Sus scrofa: one gene and its partner. The protein of the gene in region 1 interacts with the protein of each later gene in a pairwise test. Links are inferred from orthologs where the notes say so. Each region holds a gene or a part of one and is shown on either strand. Other genes may lie near its edges.

Region 1 (4,272 bases):
CTCTGATAGATGAGGTAGTTAGGAAAGTCCGCTTTGAAAATGGAGGAAGAGTCAGGCAGTAAAACCAGGAGAACATTCTGAGGCAAAAAAGAAAGTACAAAGATCCTGAGGCCAGAGCCACTCAGTGTGTGTGAGCCTCAGCAAGAAGGACAGTGTGATGACAGCAGAGCAGGAACTGGGACAAGGCAAAGGGAGTGAGGCAGGGCTTGATAGGCCATTACCGAGACTTTGGTTTTTATTTTGAGCGAAGGGGGAAAAACTATTGGAGGGTTTTGAGCAGGAAAGTAAAGAGATCTAATGTTTGTCCTAAAGGATTCCTATATCTACTCTGGAGTATGTATATAATACACACACACACACACACAACTTGAGGAAGAGAAGAGTGGAAGCTAAGTGATGAGCTGCAACAGTCTGTGTGAGAAAGGAGGGCTGGCCTTAGGGTGGTAGTGCTGTTTAGAGATCCCCAGGTAATTAAACTGCTGATATATTTAAAAAGCAAAGCTAAAAAAATATATTGGCCCCAAGGTCCTCACCCTGACTTATTTGTCAACTATTTGAATAATCACATTCAAAGTAGAAAACAAAACTATTTTAAAAACACATGTGTTCATTGTTAAGCAAAGAACAATAACCAGTAGTAGGACATGAAATAGAGTCAAAGATAGGCAGGACTCATGCAAATGGTGATTGGATACTAACTTTTGCAGAACTTTTTACACTTTGCTATTTAAAAGTAATTTTAAACAAAAGGATAGAGGTACACAATATTATTTTACAACTAAAGAAAAACCTCTTTTTAAGTATTACTTTGTCATGAAAGACAGGACTCCTGAACGTCTTTCATAACTCTTAAAGGATGTGACTCCTGCGGTGCAGCCAGAATTGCTAATAGTTCTCTGAGTGAGGGAGATTTAAACACGCAAAGAAATGTGTTAAAACCACATAAATGGAATCTGGTGGCCACAGACCCACCGAGGAACATTGAGTCGTTTGGGTTGAAGGGTGGTTAATCCTTTAAACTTGAGCAGGTTAACCCTCTCTGGGAGATGGATCTTAGCGTTTGCTCGGCCTTGGCTAAGGCCTGGCCCGCATCTAGGGCTGGATCTCCCCCCACTGCCTTTATCCACGGGCCGGGAGAACTGCGAGCCAGCAGCCCGAGACCCTGCCCGCCTCCTTGCCTGGCCACGCCCTCCCTCTGTCCGCTCCACTCTGGCCACGCCCCTCCTTTCTCCAGTGCCCGCCTCCCTCCAAGCGGGCGGCGCCGGCGTGCCGGCCGTCAGAGCCGCTGTGTGGGTGGAGCTTGCGCAGCTGCCGGGACCCCTGCGCGCACCGCCTCTCGCCCCTGGCCGCCGCGCGCCTCCGCGGACACGCACTTCCTGCAAGGCCTCCTTGCTCACCTTAGCCGATCCGAACCGAGCTGAGCCCATTCTTGCTCTTACAAGCTGTTCGCCATGGTGGACGAGCTGGTACTGCTGCTGCACGCGCTCCTGATGCGGCACCGCGCCTTGAGCATCGAGAACAGCCAGCTCATGGAACAGCTGCGGCTGCTGGTGTGCGAGAGGGCCACCCTACTGCGCCAGGTACGTCCGCCGAGCTGCCCGGTGCCCTTCCCCGAAACGTTTAACGGTGAGAGCTCCCGCCTCCCTGAGTTTATCGTGCAGACGGCGTCTTACATGCTCGTCAACGAGAACCGGTTCTGCAACGACGCCATGAAGGTGGCATTCCTAATCAGCCTGCTCACCGGGGAAGCCGAAGAGTGGGTGGTGCCCTACATTGAGATGGATAGCCCCATCCTAGGTGATTACCGGGCCTTCCTCGATGAGATGAAGCAGTGTTTTGGCTGGGATGACGACGAAGAAGACGACGAAGAAGATGAAGAAGCTGATTACTAGGCCGGGAGACCCTCGGGCCTAGGGGGGTGGGCCCTGCACGCCGCCACCACCCCCCGCCCCGCTTCGCTCCTCCCGGAGCCGCGACACTTCCCTCGCTCCCTATCTGCTTCCCTAGTCTTCCTAGTCTTCGCTCTGGTTCTCTTCCTTATTCACCGCTCCCCCCCCCCCCCCCCCCCCCCCGTAGTGTTTGTCTTTGTTCTGGGAATAGTGCTACAGTTACCTGCTGCTGGGGCTGGGGCCTCTCTGAAGTGCGCTGCCTCCCACTCAGGCCAGTCCCAGGGCCCAACCCTGCTAATTTGAACTGTGTTCTGAGCCCCAACTATAGGGCAGACTGTTACAAACTGGTCAGACTACCCACAGCCCTGCCGATTGTCAGGCCTACATCTGCCCAAAGACCGACGCTGCCACCTAACCAACCTCCATCACATTCCAGCGACAGACAGACCAGGCCTTTGGAGACAAGGACCAACCTAGAAGATGCTTTTAGTTGGCTATACCACCTGGGACATTGATTTGGACTGCTCACGCCCACCCCACCCCCCCACGAGGGGCGAATCTTTGCACCTGGTTCGTTCCCTCCTTTCCTAACTCATAGAGTCTTCTCCTGCCTCACCAGGTTGCTGCAGGGGCCCGTTGTGCCTGGCAGCCAAATTATTGACATTTCTCTTATGCACCAGTTTTGCACAACTGTCATTTTTCTTTTAAAACTGAAGCAGTCCCACAGCTGTGTGCATTTGGACAAAAATACTAAAAACAAAAACCAGACAGACAAAAGCAGGTACTCAGCCCAGCTCCTCAATACTACATAGAAAAAGCATTTGCATTCTTTTCAATAAATATCAAGCACTACGGAAAAAAAAGAGCGTCTTTTAATGGTTAAGTGCTATCATTGGCCTTTGCCACTCTCACCCTGACTCCCATTATTCCTACTGATATCAGAGAGCCTAGTTCAATCCCATTATTCTCTACTGTCATGTCTGGGCAATAGAGGACTGCTACTACAGAGCTTTATAGGGAAACTGGTGCTCCCCTCACCAAGGCACTTTTTAAAGCCCTGGTGAAGTGAGTGTCCTCTGGGGCTTCCAGGATGGGATGAATAAGGGGTAGTTGAGTAGATGGCACACCATCCCAAACTGGGACACTCGAGAGAAAAAGGGGGCACTATTACTAATCGGAATGGGACAATAGGCGTACATCAGGGCACATACCATATTCCTGTCTTCCTGAGCTTTTGGGTTCTTTCTCAGCCCTGCCAGGCAAGTGCTGCCTCTTAACTCTTATTCCTTGCAGGGTGCTGTTTGAGTTCAGGCTTCCATAAACAAGGTAGCACATTGTTTCAATACCGATTTTAGATGCTTGAGCTAATGTTAAATCCTGAGTCCTGGGTAAATGCACCCATAAGTGGAGCCAGATTTTAATGTTTCATCCTCCTTGGGCAGATAACCCTTAAGATCCCCACCCATCTGTGTGCCCCAGATTCCTGCCTGTAGAAATCGACAAGATGCCTGGCTATCTCCCATACTAGATCTTGTAATGCTGTCTGAGCTGTGCTGAGATCTTTTTGTGGGCCTGGAGGGCTGGAGGCCCTAAGGGAGTGGGGTGAGTGCTGAGAATAATCTCTACTTTTGTGAGCCCATAACCCCAGGTTAAGTCTTTGAAATGTTAAATCAGGGAAGCCTGATTAGGGGATTTGTGGGGCCTATCGCTGCCAGCCAGGAACTGTCAGGAGGATTTGAGGGGTTCAGAATTCTGATTCTTACATGTATCTGCCCAGATGTCTTCTGTACCATGCCGGGAACCAGCCCTACTTTAGAACCTCTAATTTAGATAATAAAATTCCTTCTTGTTTAAGACCTTTTGATGCTGAGTGTTTTATTTGTACCAATAAACCTTACATTGTGGGTTCAATGAGATACAGGGAACAGGTCTCTTGCTGTTGAGCTGGGCTTCAGTAGGAAGGTGTTAGGAGTGAACAGGAGCAGAATAAGCTCAGCAGAGAGAATGGAAATGAGAGCATGACAAGAGTTCATTTTTACTCTTTGGGATCTGACATGAAGTCAGATAGAAAACCAGTTTACTTGGTGAACAGACAAAGTCTAGAGCAAGAGTCATCTTTTGGACCTAAGAAAGTTGTTTCTGTAGGGTGGGGACAGGGGTAGATAGGACTTAGCAAAGGAGGTTGAGGCCCAAACAGTAGATGTGGGGAAGTGTTGGGCCAGAGCTGAAAGCAGGTAAGGGACCCAGCAGGGCCAAAAACCATTCAAAATAATCAGTGGTCCAGGTAGACTTAATGGAGTTAGAGATACAGTGGGCAAAGAAAGGCAATGCTTGCCCTCATGGTGATTCCAGGTTGTTGCTTTTATGGTGCCTTTGGTCAGAC
Region 2 (4,538 bases), on another chromosome or scaffold:
GGGCCAGGGTTCCCGGTGGAGGAGAGTCTGGGGCTCAGACGCCTGTGTCTCACATTCTCTCCTTCCTGCGCCAGCTCACCCTCTTCTCCACCTGCTCCCCGGCCTCCCGCACATTTCGGGCCTCTACTGTGAATTTCTTTTTCCCCCTGGTGCTTCTCCTGGGTCTGGCCATCTCCGCCGTTCCTGTGCTATATGGCATCTTCGTGTAAGTGTGAGAGGCACCTGCCTCTCTTTCCCTCCCTCTTCCCACTTCCCTCCAAGGTTCTGACTTGTGGCCATCCTGGAGCTCTGCCTGTCTGTCTCTGACTTCAGGATCCCACCTTCTAAGCTGTGTGGTCCATTCCGGGGGCAGTTGTCCATCTGGTCCGAGATCCCTAAGTCTATCGGAAGCCTCCCCGAGACTGCCCAGAATTTTCTCTTCTTCCTGGGGACCCAGGCATTTGCTGTGCCCCTTCTGCTGTTATCCAGGTGAGGGCCCCAGACTCCTGCATCCGGGTTTGAACGTGTGATCTGGGGTCCTACTTCCGAGAACGGAGGGGGCTGGGGGCCCAAACTTCTGGGTCTGCGGGAAGAAGGGAACTGGGATACTAGACTTCTTGAGTCTGAAGGAGGTCCGGGCCCCTGGTTTCTAAAAGAGTCTTACGTCGAAGATACACTAAGCGTGTTTGGGGAGTGGCTTTCATTCCGTCTCCTCTAGCATCCTGATGGCATATACTGTGGCCCTGGCTAACTCATATGGACGCCTCATCTCTGAGCTCAAACGCCAGATAGAGACGGTGAGTCAGGCCGGGTCCTTGGCAAGGGGTCCCGGGGAATCTAGAGATCTGTCTCACCTCCACCTCTCTTTACCCTTTACCCCAGGAGGCACAGAATAAAGTCTTCCTGGCACAGCGCGCTGTGGCACTGAGCTCGGCCAACGGAGCTCTTTGACCTTCCCAGCCTGGTTCAGGGTGACGACGTCTCGCTTTCAGACAGAGACCCACCCCCAGATCCTTTGAAGGTCTCGGCCGCGTCGTTTGGAAAATGAAAGAACTGGAGAACATCCCATGCCTTTCCAGCCCTGGGGGTCGCTGCCTCTCCAGTGAACCCCTTTCTTGTATCAATAAACACAACGGAGGCTGCTGAACGCTTTTTGAAACTTGTGTCCGGAAGCCGGGGGCAAGACTTCAGCGAGACAGAAGCCAATCAAATGCGTTGGCCGGGGAGGGTTGGTGTGGAGGGCATTTCCTCGAGAACACCTGGTGGGCGTGTCAGCCAATCAGCGGCTGCGTTCGGCAGCGTCAGGGCGGGGACACTTGTGATGGACTCGGGATCTTCAGGAGAGGCCGTCGCTGGGCGACCGCACGCGCGATGCTCCGCGATGGGAGGTGGGGGTCTCAGCCAATCAGCCTTTGCTACGGACCCGGGGGGGCGTGCCAAGTAGTCTAGGACCAATCCGTGACCGAGGCAGAAACAACAGGGAGGGGCCATCCTCCTGCCAATCGGAAGTGCTAGGAGGCGGGCCTGCCAGTTCGCGGACAGCTACGGCGCCATGAATATCCTACCCAAGAAGAGCTGGCACGTCCGGAACAAGGACAATGTGGCCCGCGTGCGGCGTGACGAGGCCCAAGCCCGGGAGGAAGAGAAAGAGCGTGAGCGGAGGGTGCTTCTCGCTCAGCAAGAGGTAAGCACCGAGCCCGGCCGGGGCTCCGGGGCTGAGCGCGCAGGCTCCTCGGGAGGGACCGGAAGCGGTGCGGCGCGCAGGCGCAGGGCACACCGTGGGGAATTTGGGGCTGGGTGCTTTGGAAGTATCTTCTCCTAGTGCTTTGATTAGCTCTCCTTGAACTCTCGCCGCTCTTGCTCTTCCCCCGCTCCTGTACTTCTCGAGGCCATAGTAGGAGCTCATGAAAAAACGAAGCCCTGAGTAGTTCAAGGAAACCCGGGCTACTTTTCAGTTTGCCTGCGCAAAGTCCCCATTTAGTGAGCGCCTGCTGCAGAACGCTTGACTTGCAAAATATCTCAAGCACCGTTCATTCTTAGAGGAGGCGCTATCATTTCTATTTTGCAGAGGGGTGAGATGCCTTCAGAGAGGAGGCCACAGCGAAATGACAGTGGAACAAGGCAATTCAGTTTTATCGGGCGAGCCCTTTGCCTGCACTGCCGGCCACACAGAAACACCAGAGGCAGTCTTTGTAACTCCTCACCTGTTTGATTTACACCTCACTTCCAGTCCTTTAGCTAATTTGGTGGTCAGCACTGGCTGGGGGATAGTTAGGGCTTTTAAAATTCTCATTTATCACTAGAAATTGCAAACCAACCGGGGATAGTGACTCGAAGCCCAACCTGGAATTCAGATCACCTGTTCTAATACATGTTTTGGTTGCCTTCATAGCGGTTTTTCTGTTTGTTTTTTTTTGGCAGTGCCCACCGCATGTGGGAGTTCCCAGGCCAGGGACTGAACCTGAGCCTTAGCAGCGACTTGAGCTGCTGCAGTGACAAGGCGGGGTCCTTAACCCGCTGCGTCACAAGGGAACTCCATTAATAGCTGTTTTTATTGTGTCACTGGAAATTCGGAATCCCTCTGGTTTTCTGTTTGAAAGGTAGCTTGCAAACCCAGATATTGCCTTATTTCTCCACCTTTTCTCGAAGCTGGGGCAGGTGCCTTTCCTGGCTCCGAGTGCCTCTGCTCCCTTCCTTACAGCCCCCGTCTGTGGTTGGCACTAGATTCACTGTTCCTTGAATCACATCTAGGTTCTGAATATTCTGCCTGTAACTTTCTTTTCCCCCAGGCCCGCACGGAATTCCTGCGGAAGAAAGCTAGGCATCAGAACTCACTGCCTGCGCTTGAAGCAGCAGAAGCAGGAGCCCCAAGGTCTGGCCCTGTGGATCTGTTTCGGGAGCTGCTAGAGGAAGGGAAAGGCTTGAGCAGAGGCAATAAAGAGTACGAAGAAGAGAAGCGACAAGAGAAAGTAAGTTGGTCCTGCCCTCTCCATCAGTCATGGATGGAGCTGGGGCTGGGGGAGCACCTTGCTTTCAGGTGTGACTGAGGGGTATTTAGGGACACAGAAGGAATCATATAGCTAATTTAGAGAACTCTTAAGAGTAATGAGGAAGTCCCTTTGTGGCTCATCAGTTAACGAACCCGACCAGGATCCATGAGGATGTGGGTTCCATCCTTGGCCTCGCTCAGTGGGTTAAGGGTCCGTTGTTGCTGTGAGCTGTAGTCTGGGTCGCAGACGCGGCTTGGATCCCCCATTGCTGCGGCTGTGGCGTAGGCAATGTGGGAAGACCCCTAGCCTGGGAACTTCCATATGCTAAGGGTGCGGCCTTAAAATAAAAAAGAAGAGTACTGAAACATAGCAGTCAAGAGAAGTTGGTTACTGTCGGGGTGCTAAGTACAAACCTGTCAGGTCTCTAACCTGGTGTCCAGATGTATAGATATCTGGGGAGTGTTAAGGAGCTTTGATTTTATTTTTTTTTAAATTTTTAAAATTATAGTTGATTTACAATGTTCTGTCAATTTCTGCTTTTCAGTAAAGTGACCCAGTTAAACATATATACATGTGTGTGTACATATATATATACATTCTTTTTCTCACATTATCCTCCGTCATGTTCCAGCACAAGTGACTAGACATAGTTCCCTGTGCTGTGCGGCAGGATCTCATTCTCTCTCCACTCCCACTCCCTTGGCAACAAGTCTCTTCTCCAAGTCCATGAGTTTGTTTCTTTTCTGTAGAAAGGTTCATTTGTGCCACGTATTAGATTCCAGATATAAGTGATAATGTATGGCATTTGTTTTTCTCTTTCTGATTTACTTCACTTAGTATGAGAGTCTCTTGTTCCATCCATGTTGCTGCAAATAGCATTATTTTGTTCTTTTTTATGGCTGAGTAGTATTCCATTGTGCATATGTGCTACGTCTTCTTCATCCATTGTCTGTGGATGGACATTTAGATTGTTTCCACGTCTTGGCTGTTGTGAATAGTGGTGCAGTGAACATACAGGTGCGTGTGTCTTTTTCAGTGAAAGTTTGTCTGAATATATGCCCAAGAGTGGGATTGCTGGGTCATACCGTACTACTATATCTGGTTTTCTGAGGTACCTCCCTACTGCTTTCCACAGTGGTTGGACTGATTTACGTGTAGGAGGGTACCCCTTTCTCCACACCCTCTCCAGCATTTGTTTGTAGATTTCCTAATTATGGCCATTCTGAACAGTGTGAGGTGGCACCTCAGAGTAGTTTTGATTTGCGTTTTCCTAATAATTAGTGATGCTGAGCATTGTTTCATGTGCCTGTTGGCCATCTGTGTGTCTCCTTTAGAGAAGTTTCTATTCAGGTCTTCTGCCCATTTTTCAGATGGGTTGGGTTTTTTGCTCTAGAGTTGTATGAATTGTTCGAATTATTTTAGAGATTAAGCCCTTGTCAGTTGCATTGTTTGAAACTGCTTTCTCCCATTCTGTAGGTTGTCTTTTTTTTTTTTTTTTTTATGGTTTCCTTTGCTGTGCAAAAGCCTTTAAGTTTGATTAGGTCCCATTGGTTTTTGTCTTTATTGCTT

Evidence for each region.
Region 2: the proteins of LDOC1 (region 1) and LENG1 interact in binary tests that used the Homo sapiens proteins (3 or more experiments, as listed by UniProt). The two-hybrid records come from large-scale screens. The link is inferred for Sus scrofa from reciprocal best matches to the Homo sapiens genes LDOC1 and LENG1.

What each region holds. Positions count from the first base shown.
Region 1 is NC_010461.5:115,579,385-115,583,656, forward strand, and holds LDOC1 (protein LDOC1), read left to right. Parts: upstream 1-1,237; 5' UTR 1,238-1,451; coding exon 1,452-1,892; 3' UTR 1,893-3,745; downstream 3,746-4,272. UniProt on the Homo sapiens protein: May have an important role in the development and/or progression of some cancers.
Region 2 is NC_010448.4:55,969,140-55,973,677, forward strand, and holds the start of LENG1 (leukocyte receptor cluster member 1), read left to right. Parts: upstream 1-1,445; 5' UTR 1,446-1,531; coding exon 1,532-1,663; intron 1,664-2,768; coding exon 2,769-2,948; intron 2,949-4,538. Other genes in the region: TMC4 (transmembrane channel-like protein 4), read left to right, coding at 75-205, 313-468, 698-776, 862-930.